3 linked regions of the Callithrix jacchus genome follow. The protein of the gene in region 3 purifies or fractionates together with the protein of the main gene of each other region. This does not show direct contact. Links are inferred from orthologs where the notes say so. Each region holds a gene or a part of one and is shown on either strand. Other genes may lie near its edges. The genes, in order: PDHA1, DLD and DLAT.

Region 1 (5,764 bases), on a different chromosome or scaffold from region 3:
GGTTTGCCGCTGCCTATTGTAGATCTGGGAAGGTAAGGCTCTAAAGGCCTCTGCGCTAATGACATCTTTAGAAGTTCAAAGACTGCCTCCCATGTGTCTGTTGAAGCTGTTAGGGAGTAGCTGCTAATTGAGGTGCATGAGCTGGAAGGCGAGTGAAGAGAGCAGGCTCCTGAGTAGCTCGGTCTTTAGCTCACCAGCTGGGAAGCCCACATTGCTCTCGTTTGGGGGAAATCTGTTCTGGTGCTTCCTCTGCTTTGGCCTCTGTCTTCTTCATGACAGCTACTTTGCCTTTTAGTTAGGTTAATTCTGTACCTCCTCCCCAACCCCCATTAATCATGAGCCCCTTGAAGGAGCAGATAAGGGATCTACACAGTGTCCAGCATAGAACGTCATGTTTACAATAGGCATTTAATGTGTGTGTCTTAGACACAGTAAATAGAATGACTGAAGCTTGTAATCTTAGTCTTGCTCAGTCCTAAGGATCTTTCCCTTCCAGTGTATGGCAGTGAGGGAGATGGGCCTGAAGAGAGGTTTCAGTTCCTTTTGCGCTAGTATAGGCTTAGTAGGTTTGGGTGTTCTCCCTAAATCAATGTTCCCCGGCCCAGAAACAAGGTTTCTGCAGTTTGTACTTCAGTGGCATACCATGTATGTTTGGACAGTGGTGCGTGTCAGATGTGGCCAGAATGATGGAAGAGACGGAGGCGAGGGTGGGAAGTGGAACATGAAACAAGCGCCAGTGAGTAGAATGAACTACAGCAGGACCGAGACCACGGCTTGGCAACACTGGGCTGAGCAGTCTATGTCAGGACTCTAAGGCTGGGAGTGCCAGGCCCTGACAGTGGGTTTTGACCCCACCTCTCCCAATTCTTGAAAAGAATCTGTGGAAGCCAGCCCTGGCTGGAGACATGGTGTTGACTTTCCCAGCCAGATAACCTTCACAATTCTGAGTTAGGTGTTAACTGTTTTGCCCATTTAACAGACAGGGAAATAGCCACAGAGCAGTTAAAGGTACAAGAGCTACTCTACCTTGGAGCCTGGATTGGAACCCAAGCACCTGGACTCTGAGCCAGCTCCCCACTCCCCCATTTTAACTGCTGCACCAAACCAACCAAGGATCCTCAATGCTTCCCCATCCCTCAGTGTTCAGAGCCATCTCCTGGAAGTGGGCTAGTGTCAAATGAGCAGGCCACTTGGTGATACAGAACCCAACTGGGCAGACTCCCAACAGAGCCTCGGGGTTTGGGGAGCAGAGGTTGTTGGTACCTGCCAACTTTGTTACACACTAGCAAGATCTGTGAAGTACAAGTGGCTGCCAGCCCCACAACACACCATGAGAAAGGAGCACAAGATGGAAATCTGCCTAGCCAGTATCAGGAGGCTCTAGCACACACTCGAAGCCTTTTTCTTTTTTGACAGGGTCTTGGGCAGTGGCATATTCACAGCTCACTGTGGCCTTAACTTTCCAGGGTTAGGTGATCTTCCCAAGTAGCTGGGACTACAGGTGCATGCCACCATGCCTGGCTAGTTTTTGTTTTTGTTTTTGTTTTTTTTAAGAGATGGGGTTTTGCTATGTTGTCCAGGATGGTCTTGAAGTCCTGGGCTCAAGTAATCCTCCTGCCTCAGCCTCCCAAAGTGCTGGGATTACAGGCATGAGCCACCATACCTGGCCTTTTTGATCCAAAACAAGCTATTGCCAGATTGCCTTACTAAAAATAAGATGAAATATATCATCAATACATGCTAGAAATGAGAACAAATAATCAGTCAACAAATAAGAAATTCGTGACAACTCAGATCTGATAAAAATACACTGGACACTTAATAAAGGGCCTGTGTTTGAGGCCGTGGATCGTCGGGCTGCTGTTCCCATCATCATTCCTAACTGCCTTCCGGTTCTGTTTTAGGGGCCCATCCTGATGGAACTGCAGACTTATCGTTACCACGGACACAGCATGAGTGATCCTGGAGTCAGGTACACTCATGGGCAATGTGGTTTCCAGAGGTGGTGGGCTTTGAATGGTGTTACATGGCAAAAGGTACACATTTCAGCATTTGCTTTTGCAGCTACATACCAGTTCACTTCCTGTATGCAGTTAGCTTTGTTGGCATCAAGTTATCTGAAGTCTTAGTCTGAAAGCAGTGCCTCCTAAAAACAAAGCTTTCTAAAAATTCCTAGAGTGTGTAGTGTGTGAGCACAAGCAACGATTTTCAAAAGAGCATTGGAAATTGTTACATAAAACAGGGCTGATGGTAGGGTAGTATCTTTGGGGGCATTTAGCTTTTGTAGGTATTACCCCAAGTCCACAGATGGCATACCCCACCTGAAGAGAACGTCTGGCATAGAGCAAGGCTAACTGGGGGTTCAATCTGTTGAAATACATCAATCACTAGGAAGGTATGAATTTTACTTTTTGGCTTAGTAGCTGTGGCATGTAATTCTGGAATCCCAGGTGTGACACAGTTGAATAAAGAAGCCTTCATAGAGTGGACTTCTCAGGGAAAATCATGTGTAGAGTGTAGTATATGGAAAATGTACTTTGTGTAAATCTGTTGTTGAAAGTGGTAGAATCCTTTTATTGATGTAGTGATACTTCAAATGATGTAGGCAAAAATTCTACATCATAGAATTGGAAGACTTGGTATCCAAGGTTTTGCTGACTGTGCTGCTTTAGGGGGACTTACGGGAGAAAGGCAAGGCACATGGATTTCTTACTGGGCGGTCTGATGTCTCAAAGTCTGATTATCAGCACAAACTGTCTCTGCTGTCCCCACCCATGTAGTATGCTTGAGCCCAAATGGGTGGGACAAGAGACACTTCTTTAGACCCTTATGTCTAAATTAAAGCAGCAAGCACAAACTTGGCCCCTGTTGTCAGAATGCCAGAGAAGCCCTAGGACTTACCAGTGTATGGTTTTCTAGAAAAGACAGCAGTTCTTACAGAATGTTAAGCTGGGTTCTGGTGTTTTGAAAGTGTAACTCTGCCACTCCTATGGTGACAGAGGCATTAATGTGCCCCTTTGTTTTAGAAACACACTTCTATATCTCACCTCATTGGGACAGTCCAACCCAATATCCTATTTCTTCATGCTGTCCTTGCTCTCCTGGAGCTGTTCTTACTGATCAATTACTTTTTCCCTCCCCATAGTTACCGTACACGAGAAGAAATTCAGGAAGTAAGAAGCAAGAGTGACCCTATTATGCTTCTCAAGGACAGGATGGTGAACAGCAATCTTGCCAGTGTGGAAGAATTAAAGGTACACTCACTCATTTGTGGAGGTTTGAAGGTTGGCTTTTTTTTTTTTGCACCCCCCCCTTCCCCCCTAAAAAAGTTGCCACCCCTGGGTGGGCACAGACAGAGTTTGTGTGGGTTTCTCTAAGCCCAAAAAGTGATGTGCTGGGGCATAATGAATTCCAAAGTCCCTCAGGGTGGGCTTTCCTTCTAGTTTCCTCTCCTCCAAATTCTATTACTCTAGATTTTGGTGGACTGTGGACCACCTGAGTAAATGCTATCACTAATCACAGTGGCCAAGCCCCCCAAGTAGCATAGTTCTTTTTTTCCTAAGAGATTTTCCTTTGAATTTTTAATTCATAAAAAAGATACACCCTAGAAATCTATATTCCAGAATCTTCCAAGTTAGCAACTGTTAATGCTTGTAGTTAGAAAAGTTACACCAGCAACAGGTCCTCAGTAGAACTCTGGTTGGTACCTAAGCTGCTGTTCATTCAAAAAACCTTTCACACTTTTTAGGAAATTGATGTGGAAGTGAGGAAGGAAATTGAGGATGCTGCCCAGTTTGCCACAGCCGATCCTGAGCCGCCTTTGGAGGAGCTGGGCTACCACATCTACTCCAGTGACCCACCTTTCGAAGTCCGTGGTGCCAATCAGTGGATCAAGTTTAAGTCAGTCAGTTAAGGGGAGCAGAAGGTGAGCCTCTATACCTTCAGGGGCTACTAGACAGTGTTCAGTGTTCTCATCTTGGTTAAGGAGAAAACCCAGTCAGTCAGTCAATGACATGCTTGTAAACGTCCACTTCAGCTAGTAATTGCATGCAGTTTGTACATTGTTGCATTAAAAGATGTTATTGAGTGCTTAGTGTGAATATTATAAAAGATTATTTTTGACTTAGCATATTTGTTCAAAGTATACAACTATTTTAATTATGAAAAGGAAGAACAATTCCTAGTATGCCTGTGCCCCACCACCTTTTTGAGAGGAGACCATTATTGTGGGGCCCCTCACAGGCATACTTATGGTAACAGCCCAGGGCCTCTTGCTGCGTGCAGCAGCCTGTTCACACTGACCATCATTTCTCTTTAAGACACTATTTATTATAATCAGGCAGCAGGACAGGTCCATTTTAAAATAAGACTTTCCTAATCAAAGGCCACATAGTTTTCTGTACTTATACATTCAGTATAATATGAAGCTATTTTCTGTTCATAATAAACATTAAATACAAGGCACATTCGTATCAATGTTGTTTCTCAAATTTAAGTACCATAACAGTTCTGAAGCGAAGCAAGTCCCAGCTTCCATGTTAAACACCCCTTGTTTCACCATTCCAGCAAGTGCTAAAGGATGTACTTTTTTGTTTTTGAGATAGGGTCTCGCTCTGTTGCCCAGGCTGGAGTGCAGTGGTGTGATCAAGGCCCACTGCAGCCTCCACCTCCAGGGCTCAAGCGATCCTCCCACCTCAGCCTCCCAAGCAGCTGGGACCACAGGTGAATTTCCTAATATTCTGGGAGGTCAAAACCAGGGCTCACTGTTCTCACAATACACACAGCTCTATGTTTATAAATAATAGATTTCAAAAGAAACTCAGTATGGACAATATTTAAAACTTTAAGTTCCTGAATAATGGCATTTTTAAAATATGTAAACACGGCAGACTGCATCTATACATTAACAGAAGCTTTAACAAAACATGTAGTGTGGTGGCACACACTGCTCCCAGCTTAGCTGATGATCGGTATCAAGCCTCGTCTTTGGCTTCTGAGGCCTCCTGAGCCCTTCTGTACTGGGAAACCGCGCTCCAGAGCCTGCAGAGGAGACCACCCCTAGGAAACAAACAGCTGTCTTCAGAGTCAGAGCTTCAAGCCAACAGTGCTTAGAAATGCAGCCCCTAACTTACTTAAAAACATTCTCTTCACATATGGAGGAGACACTTGTGTCCCAGCAGTGTTAGGATATGGCCTTAGAGGTATGTACCTGCAGAGCCAGCTATTTCAAATGACGCAGGAACAAGAAGGCAGGCTACAGTTTACAGAAGGGGAGGGGTCCAGCATGTGGGCCCTCAAGCCGTGTGCCTCCCCCACTCCCAGCCAGGCATTAATGGCAGGAGATTGACTGGCCAGCTCCTCTGTCACCTGCCTACTTCTCCTGCGTGGTTTTCAGTTTCTGCCATGCGTTGGCTTTTTCTCAGCTCCGAACTCCAGCGTTTTGAGGGAGGCCCAGCCCTTTGTTTTCTGCTCTTTAAGCATATTCACACATAAAAAGGCGTGTTCTCTTACACAAACTGTTTTGCGGCTCTTACCGTAGTCGAAGGTATCTTAGATCTTCCTTAGTGATCTCATTAAGAATATCAGACAGTGTATAACCCTCTTCAATAATCTGAAATAAAGATCAGATCCATGAGAGCAAGCGGCCGTGTAACAACACCGTAAGAATTTCTTCGTTGTATGTTTACCTTTTCGATTGTCTTTGCATCAGCTCCTTGCAGCTGCAACCAGTCTATAAGCTCTTTATCTGTTCTCTGCCCGTGGA
Region 2 (5,065 bases), on a different chromosome or scaffold from region 3:
TACTACAGTAACTATATTAAGTATTTTACTTAAAATAGTAGAAACACTCCCCATTCCTTTTCAGCTAAACAACTAAAGATCTCACTTTGAAATTAATTTTTTTTTTTTTTTGAGGCGGAGTTTCGCTCTTGTCCCCCAGGCTGGAGTGCAGTGGTGTGATCTTGGCTTACGGCAACCTAAGCCTCCAGGGTTCAAGTGATTCTCCTGTCTCAGCCTCATGAGTAGTTGGGATTACAGGCACCTACCATCACACCAGGCTAATTTTTATATTTTTAGTAGAAGCAGGGTTTTACCATATTGGCAAGACTGGTCTCAAACTCCTGACCTCAAGTGATCCACCTACCTTAGCCTTCCAAACTGCTGGGATTACAGGAGTAAGCCACTGCTCCATGCCAGTTGAAATTACTAATTTTAATCAGTTCAATGAAGTGGATAATCTGCCTTCACAAGCCACGAAAATATTGAGAGCTTAGTAGACAACAGTAAGTAAACATTTAAAACTTGTTTTATTCTTAGGACTTCATTCCCCACCCAAATATATTTCATTCTCATATTGAATGTAAACACTTAAATATGGATTTAACTATTTTGTGTCCCTAGAGCTAGGATTCCATGTTAAATTATATTTCACTACTCCCTAACTAGAAACTTATTTTTCCCTGAGTAAGAGACATGTTGAGATTTAAATAAACTAGCACTTGACACGATACTGGGATTTCAGATTTTTAAAAAGATGCAGCGTTCACTTCCAGTAATGGCGAAGTAGCACATATCGGACCAACCCTCCTGCTGACAGCAACTGCAAACTCTGAACAAAACACATTTTAGAAAAAACTGTAAAGGCACTGGAAAACAACTATAAACAGGTGAAAAGCAGAGAGGAGCTGGCACTTAAAAAGTGAACAGCACTGGCTCAAAGTCTCATTTTTAATAGGTTTTGACTTGAGGGGGAAACAAAAGCCAAGTTTTATTGGATAAGGATCAGAGGACAGAATATGGGGCGACCACAACAGCTGGAACATAAAGGGGAAAACCCCAGAAAAATAAGAGGGAAAAGAAGGGGCAGACTTTCTTCTGCCCAACCTCTGGTTGACTACTGAACTATACACTTGCATCGGAAAGACTTCCAGCAGCATAGGTAAATCTAAAACAACTGAGAAGAGATTTCAGCTGCTACCACCTACAGGGTTTGGAGGTGGTGTTCAGCCAAATTAACTGCCTACTAAGACAACAATCAATTTTCTTCAGAAGTATGTAACAGAATCCAGGGTGTTTACTATACGCCACTCATAATGAGCATTAGACAATCTATGCTATCTATACTAAATTTCAGAACTACTTAATGAATATCATTCTTAAATTTAGTTATAATATGCAAAAGCCTACTTAGCATTTAGTACTCTGTTACTTAAGTTTCACAGGACATGGCCATTTTAAACACCATAGACGCAACTTTATAATACTCTTTAAATAAAGTCATTTACCCAGCCAAGGAAAACAGATTAAAGACTCCCTTATGTTGTACTTCTCCAAAAGCATATGTTAAACATTTACTAGGTGTCTCTAAAATAGATGAAAGGACAATGACTTTAAAATACCTTAATATTGTCACATAACATGAAAATAAAGATACATTCAGGCCTACAAAAGAAATAAGAACATACACTAGAGGTAGTCATAAAAAGAAAAAAAAACTACAACCATCTCAACACGTACTCATAACAACCAATAAATGAATATTTAAGACGTTTATTTCAGTATCTTCATTCCCCATTGTAATACATTTGAATCCACACGTAATATTTGAGTCCTGTAAATAGACTCTCTTAATTTGGGTAACTATATAATTACCCTTCAGAGTTATAGACAACAATGGAATCTTAAAAACCTCTTAAACACATAAATTCTACCCCTTAACTGCAAGAATTTAGGGGTTAAATAAGTGAGAGACCCTTTTTGACTTACATTATTTGGTTTATAGACAGCTGAATCTTGTTTGAATGACTGACTTGTTTCCAATATGAAAACCAAATTAAAAATATCTTGATCACTTTGCTTCAAACACAACTGTTCAAAGATCAAATTCTAGCTCCATCTGTGTAAAATTCAACTTTTCTATATCAGAGAAAAAAAAACTACTTAAATTCAGTGGCATTGAATCTTTCATGAACAGCATGAAAATAGGAGTTGACGGAGATATTCCAGGTACAGTAAGTAGCTTTTTGTCTTACATATGAGTGCACTGAAACAAAATACTAAATATATGTAAAATATAGATATGAGTATTCCATCTGTCCAAACCTATTAAATACCTTCCAAAAGTTTCATAATTCAGTCCTAGAAATTCTTGGAGCTGTGTGCATATCCTGTCCAGGAATGTGACTTCTACAAAAGCTCCCAGAAAATTTCAGAAAAAATATATATAATCTTCTAATTCAAAAGTTGATTGATTTGCCAAATGACGCAGCAAGATTTGCTTCTCTAAAAGCTTCTGATAAGGTCTGCAAGGGAAGAAATTTAGAATTAAAAACCAAGTATTTGTGGGTTAGAAGAAAATTCAGGCAACCATCAATTCTTTATGTTGTTAATAATTACCGGATGTGCATGACAGACTCTAGCTATATCTTCACAGGATGCTCCATATTCCAAAGCAAGAGCAGCTTCATTTACCATTTCTCCAGCACCCTTTAAAATAACAAGCCAAGTAAATTTGCTTCCATGACAAAAACTACATGCTAATAGGATAGCAATGGTTAAGAGAGGAAGCTTTTAGATCTGAAAATCGCCTTAAATCTGTTTCTGTATCAGCTGAAAGAAAGTCAGAAAAAACAACAGAAAAGGTGACACAGAAGAACCTGGGCTTTGGAGCCAAATGGTTTTCGATTCGTATCTACCATTTACTACTTTACCCATTCACTGGTTCTGTGTGCTTCCTTCAGTTTCTTCACCTCAAAAATAACAGCATGTATCTCACAAAGCTGTTGTAAAAATAACAAAATGTATACTAAAGTGACACAGTGAGCACTCAAATATTCTATTCTCCTTATTGTTATATCAGATACAGGAGATATCTACAAGAAAGATAACATACTTTAGCCTCAGTGGTAGGAAAGGTTTCCCTTAGGAGGTAACATTTGAGATGAGACCTAAACAATAAGGAGCCAGCAATTCAAAGATGTGGAGCCACAACAGTCTAAGCAGAGGGTACCTCAAGCACAAAGGCCCTAAAATTCAAACATTTGGCCTCTTGTGAAAATGAGAGAAGGTCCATGTCACACAGAATTAATCAGCAAAGGAGAGGAGAAAGAGAAGAGGTCAGAAATGTAGGCACAAACAGATTCAGTGAGGCGCTGTATGTAACAATCTGAAGTTGAAAAGCACCACTGGAGGATTTTAGGGGCATAATCCGGTGTATATTTTAAAGACAGAATCTTGGCTCCAGTATAGAAACCAGATGATACAGTGGGCAAGACTGTGAGAGTGCTGCTGGTATCCTTCTAGAAATGATACACAGAGAGGCCATATTCAAAAGTTTTGCTGGAAATGAGTAACCTCCAAATAACAACAGGTGGTTTACAATTAATAAACAGCAATGCTTTCTAGAAATCTTATGGATTTCTCTGGTTTTACGATACTCACTGGTCCAAGAATATGTGCTCCCAGTACTCTGTCGGTCGATTTCTGCCCAAGGATCTTCACCATGCCATCTGTGTCAGCATTTGTCTTAGCTCTGCTGTTAGCAGCAAATGGGAATTTCCCAACTTTGTACTCAATACCCTGTGAGAGACATAAAAAAAGAATCTACGTAAGTGCTGGAAGAGTTCATTCCAATTTGTAAAATCATCTACCATTTGATCAGAAATAAATCCCAAGAAGGCAACTGTACACAAAGTACATACAAGACCCAAAGGTCTTGTTAATGAAGATATAGTTAATGAACTATATCTTGGGCACAAATGCAAGCCAATACAAATGTCTGTCCATCTGGTTATATTTCAAAGCCAAATATAAAAGATTTGGAATTACTAGTTTTTTAATACAGGCAACTTCTCCTCCTCTCAATTACTGCTGAAAAATCTGTGAACAATCTCTTTATAATGCTAACAAGGGAAAAACATATAAGCTAAACAATGATATTTCACAGCTGTGAAATATATTAATGTAATAAGATGCTGTTTCTCAACCACCATTGTCACTGGCACAACTCACACACTAGGGTAAAACCACCCACGTTCAGAGTTACCTCTTCTTTCAACTGCTCTTCTGATTTGCCAACCCAAGCAACTTCAGGGTGTGTATAAATCACTGATGGCACACAATTGTAGTCAATGTGCACAGCACCACCAGCCATTCCTTCAACACAGATAATGCCTTCATCCTCTGCTTTGTGAGCCAGCATTGGACCAGCAACTACATCACCAATAGCATAGATACTACCACAGAAATCAAAAGAAACAAAATGAATTTCTGAAATCACAGCTACTTATCTTCAGTTACATCATGGTAACAAAAGTAAAAGTTTCCAGTAAATAAGTCACCAAAAGATAAATCAAATGCAACTCTTCAAAAATCTATGAATTCACCTTCTCATCTTTGAGGAAAACTTCAATTATTTTTTGATTTTACATTTTGTAAGTTTACTATTCTTCCCCAAAGCCAAGACATATTTTAAGCATACAAGTCTTACTTTTCGAAACACTGTTTGAAATCAATTTTAAAATTACTGAAAACGCAGACAACTGTCCAACTTACTTTGGAATTTTAGATTGGAATCTGGTATTGACTGGAATTCTACCTCTGGGATCTAGTTCAATTCCCAGCTCTTCTAGTCCCAAATTCTTAGTAAAGGGTCGTCGACCAATGCAAACTAAGAGTACATCACAAGTGATAACTTCAGCTTTACCACCAGAAGCAGCTTCAATACTAGATAACAAACAGTATATAAATGTTAAATACACACCTACATAAATTGATAAAAATTTAAGATCAGAAATTTCTCAAGCATTGATGACATTTTTAACAATTAAGTTTATTTGACTGTAAATCGAAGAGTCAGATAATGAAA
Region 3 (6,852 bases):
ACAAATGCCTTCTCAACATGGCGACTGCATGAGGGTCTCCTAAAGAGGGCTTGTGCAAAGATCTCTGAGAAGGGAGGCGACCTCTGCTCACAAGATCTGGGAGGGTCTTTGCAGATGGGAGCTGGCCAGGAGGAGAAACGCCTTGCAAGGCCAGGCGCGGTGGAAGGCGGAGATCACGGAAAGCCTCAGCCTCTGCCTAGGTTCTCCGAATATGGAGTGATTTTAATTGTTCTATGTCTTCAATGCTTGGGAGATAAAAGCCCCTTGAAGTATTGGGTGTGGTCAGACTGGGTGGCTCCTCCTCTGCTATACTTCTGCTGCAGCAGCACCCTGATAACAATAAGTGATAAACTCAGAGTACTAGTTTAGCATGTTTTAGACAGATCTCAAGTGCTTTTAAATGCTTAGACAGTAGTTTAGCATGTCTTAGAAGGATCTCAAGTGCAAGTGCTCCCCTGCCCCATCTTACCTACCCCTTCACCCTCCCCTTCCATGCCCATTACTTCAATGAGATTATGCACAAAATAAAAGGGTTTGGAGCCCAGAGCTCGGGGCCAACACAGTTCCCACACTTGCGTTGGTCCCCTGGACGCATGCTGCAAATTCTAGCCTTGTGTCTCTGTCTTTATTTCCTTTTCTCAATCCCTCCTCACTGCCAGGACTAAGGGCATCTACATACGGGGTTGGGGCTGGTACCCAGCAGTGGCACGTGCCTGTAATCCCAGCTACTCAGGAGGCTGAGACAGGAGAATCTCTTGAACCCGGGAGCCTGGGTGACAGAGTCAGATTCTGTCTCCAAAATAATAATAATAATTTATAAGCCCTTTTACTAATTACAATTATTCTTCCATTGCTTCTTCCAATTGTTAATTCATAAGCTGTATATAATTGTAACAATATAATTGCCCTCCTCTTCATATTATTTCAAATATGCCTTTTCATTTAATCTGGAAATTTTATATTTCTCAATTATATTGCCTACATATCATTCGATTAGGCAGTTGTACCTGCTTAATAAACATTTCCAATTTAAGTAGGCATAAAACAGTATATCCGATCTGTTTTTACTTTTCCAAATTAATTGTTAGCAAGATTAACCACCCCCAACACACACCATTTTTTAAGAGACAGATTCTTTCTGTGTTGCCCAGGCTGGTCTCAAACTCTTGGGCTCAAGTGATTCCCCCACCTCAGCCTCTCAGGTATTTATTGCTGGGAACTACAGGCACGCACCATCGCTCCTGGCTAACATCTTGTTTTAATGTTTTTCCCTCCAATTTCTTCTTGTGTTCTTGGTGTTGTCTAACTGTGTGTACACTGGGGAGGTGGTGATACAAACACAGCACATGCTTCCTCCTTATCTAATGTCACCTTAATTGATACGTTTTCTTTTATTTTTTTTTTGAGACAGAGTTTCACCCTTCTTACCCAGGCTGGAGTGCAATGGGGCGACCTCGGCTCACTGCAACCTCTGCCTCCTGGGTTCAGGCAATTCTCCTGCCTCAGCCTCCTGAGTAGCTGGGATATAGGCACATGCCACCGTGCCTAGCTAATTTTTTGTATTTTTAGTAGAGACAGGGTTTCACCATGTCGACCACGATGGTCTCGATCTCCTGACCTCGTGATCCACCCGCCTCGGCCTCCCAAAGTGCTGGGATTACAGGCGTGAGCCACCGCGACCGGCCTAATTGATATGTTTTCTTTCTTTCTTTCTTTTTTAAAGACGGGGTTTCACCGTGTTGGTCAGACTGGTCTCGAACTCCCCACCTCAGGTGATCTGCCCGCCTTGGCCTCCGAAGTGCTTGGATTACAGGCGTGAGCCACTACGCCCAGCCAATTGATATGTTTTCTAATTAAAAGCTAACCTTACAAGAGAAGCAAACCTAACAAAATGTCTGGATGACTTTCTGTTCATTAATTCAAAAGCTATACATTCAGCCACCGCTAATTACTGTATACTAAGCTCTGGGGCTACAGGGAAGAACCACCTCCACACACTTCCTGCCTTCAACGGCTTCCAGTTAAGTTTTGGTAGGAAACATATGAAACGTAACGCTTTTGGTTACGTAATAGAATTCTATGGTATTAGGGGTAACAGAAACATGTTCTGTAACCTATATTTTCATAAAGGGAATATGCTTAATCTTGCTACAGTATACACGAATGCGGGAATCTGTCTTTTCTGGGCTGCCTTTCGTACCACTTGGCTGGAACACCTGTTCATTTCACTTCAAGTTGGGTACAAACCTGAAACGAAATCTTTGTAACCCAGTACAGCCTGCGCCCGGTGGGGCCCAGTCCGTCCTCATGACGATGCGCGGAAGTAGAGGTCACCAGGCTGCACCTCTCGATTCCCCCGCAGGCGGTTCCTCGCTCCTTCACCACCCCAGGGCTCCAAGATCCCCGCCCTTTGGCCTGAGGCTCCCACTGCCCAGCCAGTTCCCTGTTCACTCCCGGCTTTTCCTCGAAGCTGGGCCACGCCCCTCGGCCCAGACTCTCCGGCCACTCGGCCGCGGTGATCCCGCGTCTTTGCCACTGTTGAGACCTCTCCCTCTCGGTCGTACCCTTCCCGTCTCCTGGGCCCCGCCGGATGCCTCCCCTAGGACCCCACCACTTTCCGTCTGTTATTTCTCCCAAACTTGCGCCCGCACAGGCCCTGCTGGAACACCCCTGCCCCGGGGGGGGGGTGCCCCTTGTACCCACTCCAGAGAGGAAGGGCGTGGGTGCGGCGCATTTCTGGCCTGGGGAGGGGGTGGAATAAACCTGCGGGGCCCATTTTACGACACCGTGCGGCTGTGCGGCGTGGCTGACGGCAACGCCGTGCAAGTCTTGGAGAGGTCACTTCGGAGACGGCGTTGGTTTTGGGGTGTGGGGGGTTGGTGGCACTATGTGGCGCGTCTGTGCGCGACCCGCCCAGAATGTAGCCCCATGGACGGGACTCGGGGCTCGGTGGACGGCCTTGCGGAAGGGACCCGGATCTCCACGAGTGACCTCGCGATCTGGCCTGGCTCCGGCTCGTCGCAACAGCGTGACAGCAGGGTATGGCGGGGTCCGGACACTGTGTGGCTGGACCCCCAGCTCTGGGGCCACGCCGCGGAACCGCTTACTGCTGCAGCTTTTGGGGTCGCCCGGCCGCCGCTGTTACAGTCTTCCCCCGCATCAGAAGGTGAGCCCTCGACCGGTCCTTCTCGGGACGACCCGTCCTTCAGAGCCGACTGGATGGCTGCACGATCCTCCTTGAGGGGCCTCATTGATCCTCCAGCCATTCCCAGTATCTGCTTTCGCCCTTTGTCCAATTCAGCTTTGCTGTGTAGCTCCTTAGCTTCCCTCTCATGGTCTATTCCATTGAAAGGAGAGCTTCAAGACTGGGGCAGTATGCAAAATACCTGCCGAGGTTCATGCCTTGTCAGACCCAAAGGACTGTGGAGGAGAAAGCCTGTCATTGGAAAGTATTCACTTCTCGTGGGCAGCAAATTTTTTTGGATCCTTAGTTCCTAGTGTGTAATGGAACTGGATAAACTCGTTGCATGAAATTGAATTAAATGAAATCTTAAGCCAGACAGAGGGTTAGGTAGCCCTTTAAAAATTTAATGTTTCTTTTTTTCTTCCAGGTTCCATTGCCTTCTCTTTCCCCGACAATGCAGGCAGGCACCATAGCCCGTTGGGAAAAAAAAGAGGGGGACAAAATCAATGAAGGTGACCTAATTGCAGAGGTAAGTTGTTTTAAAATAAAGGAGATGAGTTTGAAGAGACTGGCTTTGCTGAATTGACTGAACATTGACTTTCTGGATGTGTGGTTACCCCTTTGCTTAAGAAACTTGTGTTTTTCACAGCTTGATGTTAGACAAGATTGGTTAGATGAGTTATCAGCAACTGGCCAAACTGATGTTTAGCCAAGGTGTTTCCAAAGTAATTCCTTCTTTGAAATCTGTCCTAGTGCCTTATCTTCACATGAACTGTGTGATTCTAGACACAAAGGCCAGGCTGACCAATATGGTGAAACTCCTGTCTCTGCTAAAAATACGAAAAATAGCCAGTCCTGGCGGCCTGTGCCTGTGGTCCCAGCTACTCCTCTGGAGGCTGAGGCAGGAGAATGGCTTGAACCAGGGAGCCCTGCGGGGAGGTTGCAGTGAGCCGAGATTGCGCCACTGCACTCCAGCCTCGGTGACAGAGTGAGACTCTGTCTAAAAAAGAAAAATTCTAGACACAAGCAAATAAAGTACATACCAACAGTACCAACTTAAGCTGCCGCTTTTTGTGTTAAAAGGTTGAAACTGATAAAGCCACTGTTGGATTTGAGAGCCTGGAGGAGTGTTACATGGCAAAGATACTTGTTGCTGAAGGTACCAGGGATGTTCCCATTGGAGCCATCATCTGTATCACAGTTGGCAAGTGAGTAGTACCCTCATAATTTGTGAAACTTCATTGCTTGGTGGAGTATTTTAACCCAGAATTGAGAATTAGGAGTTAAAGACTTTTTTTTAAAGACTATTTTGTGAGGGCTGAATCTGCCTGTTTATTATATTTATGTATTCTTTCTCTTTCTTAGGCCTGAGGATATTGAGGCCTTTAAAAATTATACGTTGGATTCCTCGGCAGCAGCTACCCCACAGGTGGCCCCAGCACCAACCCCTGCTGCCACTGCTTCACCACCTGCACCCTCTGCTCAGGCTCCTGGTAGCTCATATCCCGCTCACATGCAGGTGAGGCTCAGTCTCTGAGTGTTTGCTGTAGATGATTTATTACTTACTTTTTTTCGTAGATGGCTACTACATCTTGGAAACTGACATTTAATGTGGCTAATGCTTGTCATTTGGGAGTTTACAGAGATTTAAACATGAAAATTGACAATTTTTCTTCCTGGTTGTTATTTCCAGGTATAAGAACTTGAACAGTTCCTGTAACCTTTCTCAGCCTCAGTGTAGTACACAGGGTAGTGCGTGGCACTTTTCATTCAAGAACACCACATTATAGATTTTGAGGATGATTTTTACTCATATCTACTCCCTGTGTAATTAGAGTTTATAGTAGGCTGTGTTTGTTTTATACTGGCATAAATATCTGGGGCTGGGTAATTTATAAAGAAAAAAAGTGGCCAGGCGTGGTGGCTCACGCCTGTAATCCAAGCACTTTGGAGGCCAAGGCGGGCGGATCACCTGAGGTCGGGAGTTCAAGACCAGCCTGACCAACATGGTGAAACCCCGTTTTTAAAATAAAAAAAAAGAAAGAAAAAACATTTATTTGGCTCATGGTTCTGCAGGCTGTACAAGAAGTATGGCACCAGCATCTGTTTCTCTTGTGGCCTCAGGAAGCTTACAATCACAGGGGAAGGGGAAGCTGGTGTGTCACATAATGAGAGAGGCAGCAAGAGACAGAGGGGAGTGGGTATCAGGCTCTTTATAACAATCAGATTTCCCCTTAACTCATAACTGTGAGGCATACACCAAGCCATTCATGAAGGATCCTCCTCCAATACCCCGACACCTCCCGCCAGACCCCATCTCTAACATTGGGGATCATATTTCTTTTTTTGGGGTGTGTTCTTTTGACATGTGGTGATCTGTTTTCCAAGAGTAAGTGAAGTAGTACGATAGTATTAACAAATGAGAAAACTGACAAAAATAAGTGGCTAAAAATCCAGCCATCCTTTTCTAAATAATTCTGACTTGAATTTTTCCATAATCTAGTTTATTTGTAGAAATTTTTGTATAGAAATCACTTCTTTGGAAATAATGTTCTACTCTGTGGTCTGTTAGTAACAATAAGTTAGGATTTTTGCCAGGTATTCAGTTCCCACATGTATTACATGCTGTTCATCAAATTCTATCTCATGATATGAGACTGACTTAATTCTTCTCTATTTTATGTCTGTAGCTTTGTGTGCATGTGTTCGGGCTTTACCTTGATTATCCTTTAAGATATTATATAGAAATCATTGGCTTTACTGTTCGTTAAGAAGCAGATCAAGATGGCAAATTCTGAACAAAAAAAGCACTTAAAATTTTTTTTCTAAGGCTTGTCTTTTTTTTCCCCCCTCTAGAAACATCTTCAATTGAAATTATTTTCCTCTTAGCATAATGCCGTTGCTAATCGGATACAAAAGACAAAGGGGATAGCAAATGAAATCCGTAATAACTAAATAACCAAATTCCGTGGACACACAAGCCATATAAATAGTAAAGCAATTTTAAATTTAGATAGGCATTCTGATGTTTGAATTTTATTGGGGTGGAAATGACTATTTTAAAAACAGGGCTTTTTTTCCTCATTTAAAAAAATTTTTTTGAGACGGGCTCTTACTCCATCGCCCTAGGCTGGAGCGTGCAGTGGCATGATTTCAGCCCACTGCAACCTCTGCCTCCTGGGTTCAAGGGATTCTCCTGCCTCAGCCTCCCCAGTAGCTGGGAATACAGGCGCACACAACCATGCCCAGCTAATTTTGTGTTTTTAGTAGAGATGGGGTTTCGCCATGTTTGCCAGGCTGATCTTGAACTCCTGCTGGGAAGCTATTGAGGTGCTAAGCTTTTGCTGTGACGAGTATTTGGATTATCATAGTCACCATTATTCTGTGAAACTATATAAGCCTGCCTGACTGTTACTGTGTACAAGTCTTCTTAGTATTAAGCAGTAATACGTGTTTGTTTCTATAGGTACTTCTTCCTGCCCTCTCTCCCACCATGACCATGGGCACAGTTCAGAGATGGGAAAAAAAAGTGGGTGAGAAGCTAAGTGAAGGAGACTTATTGGCAGAGATAGAGACTGACAAAGCCACTATAGGTGAGATTTCTTCAGCTCTTAATGGTTGAGACACTGAGTTTCCCAATGAGGAAGAGGATTGCCATCCTTTCCTAT

Evidence for each region.
Region 1: the proteins of DLAT (region 3) and PDHA1 fractionate together in Homo sapiens (co-fractionation; 3 studies listed by BioGRID). This does not show direct contact. The link is inferred for Callithrix jacchus from reciprocal best matches to the Homo sapiens genes DLAT and PDHA1.
Region 2: the proteins of DLAT (region 3) and DLD purify together in Homo sapiens (affinity purification with mass spectrometry; 4 studies listed by BioGRID and IntAct, counting the BioPlex papers as one, with this or other methods). This does not show direct contact. The link is inferred for Callithrix jacchus from reciprocal best matches to the Homo sapiens genes DLAT and DLD.

The regions. Positions count from the first base shown.
Region 1 is NC_133524.1:19,829,160-19,834,923, forward strand, and holds the end of PDHA1 (pyruvate dehydrogenase E1 component subunit alpha, somatic form, mitochondrial), read left to right. Parts: coding exon 1-32; intron 33-1,904; coding exon 1,905-1,972; intron 1,973-3,145; coding exon 3,146-3,254; intron 3,255-3,748; coding exon 3,749-3,913; 3' UTR 3,914-4,464; downstream 4,465-5,764. Other genes in the region: MAP3K15 (mitogen-activated protein kinase kinase kinase 15), read right to left, coding at 4,974-5,058, 5,535-5,611, 5,688-5,764. UniProt on the Homo sapiens protein: The pyruvate dehydrogenase complex catalyzes the overall conversion of pyruvate to acetyl-CoA and CO(2), and thereby links the glycolytic pathway to the tricarboxylic cycle.
Region 2 is NC_133512.1:78,372,279-78,377,343, reverse strand, and holds the end of DLD (dihydrolipoyl dehydrogenase, mitochondrial), read right to left. Parts: intron 4,924-5,065; coding exon 4,753-4,923; intron 4,434-4,752; coding exon 4,244-4,433; intron 3,778-4,243; coding exon 3,640-3,777; intron 2,686-3,639; coding exon 2,596-2,685; intron 2,502-2,595; coding exon 2,436-2,501; 3' UTR 1,734-2,435; downstream 1-1,733. UniProt on the Homo sapiens protein: Lipoamide dehydrogenase is a component of the glycine cleavage system as well as an E3 component of three alpha-ketoacid dehydrogenase complexes (pyruvate-, alpha-ketoglutarate-, and branched-chain amino acid-dehydrogenase complex).
Region 3 is NC_133511.1:11,730,870-11,737,721, forward strand, and holds the start of DLAT (dihydrolipoyllysine-residue acetyltransferase component of pyruvate dehydrogenase complex, mitochondrial), read left to right. Parts: upstream 1-2,822; 5' UTR 2,823-2,887; coding exon 2,888-3,166; intron 3,167-3,611; coding exon 3,612-3,713; intron 3,714-4,267; coding exon 4,268-4,392; intron 4,393-4,549; coding exon 4,550-4,703; intron 4,704-6,650; coding exon 6,651-6,777; intron 6,778-6,852.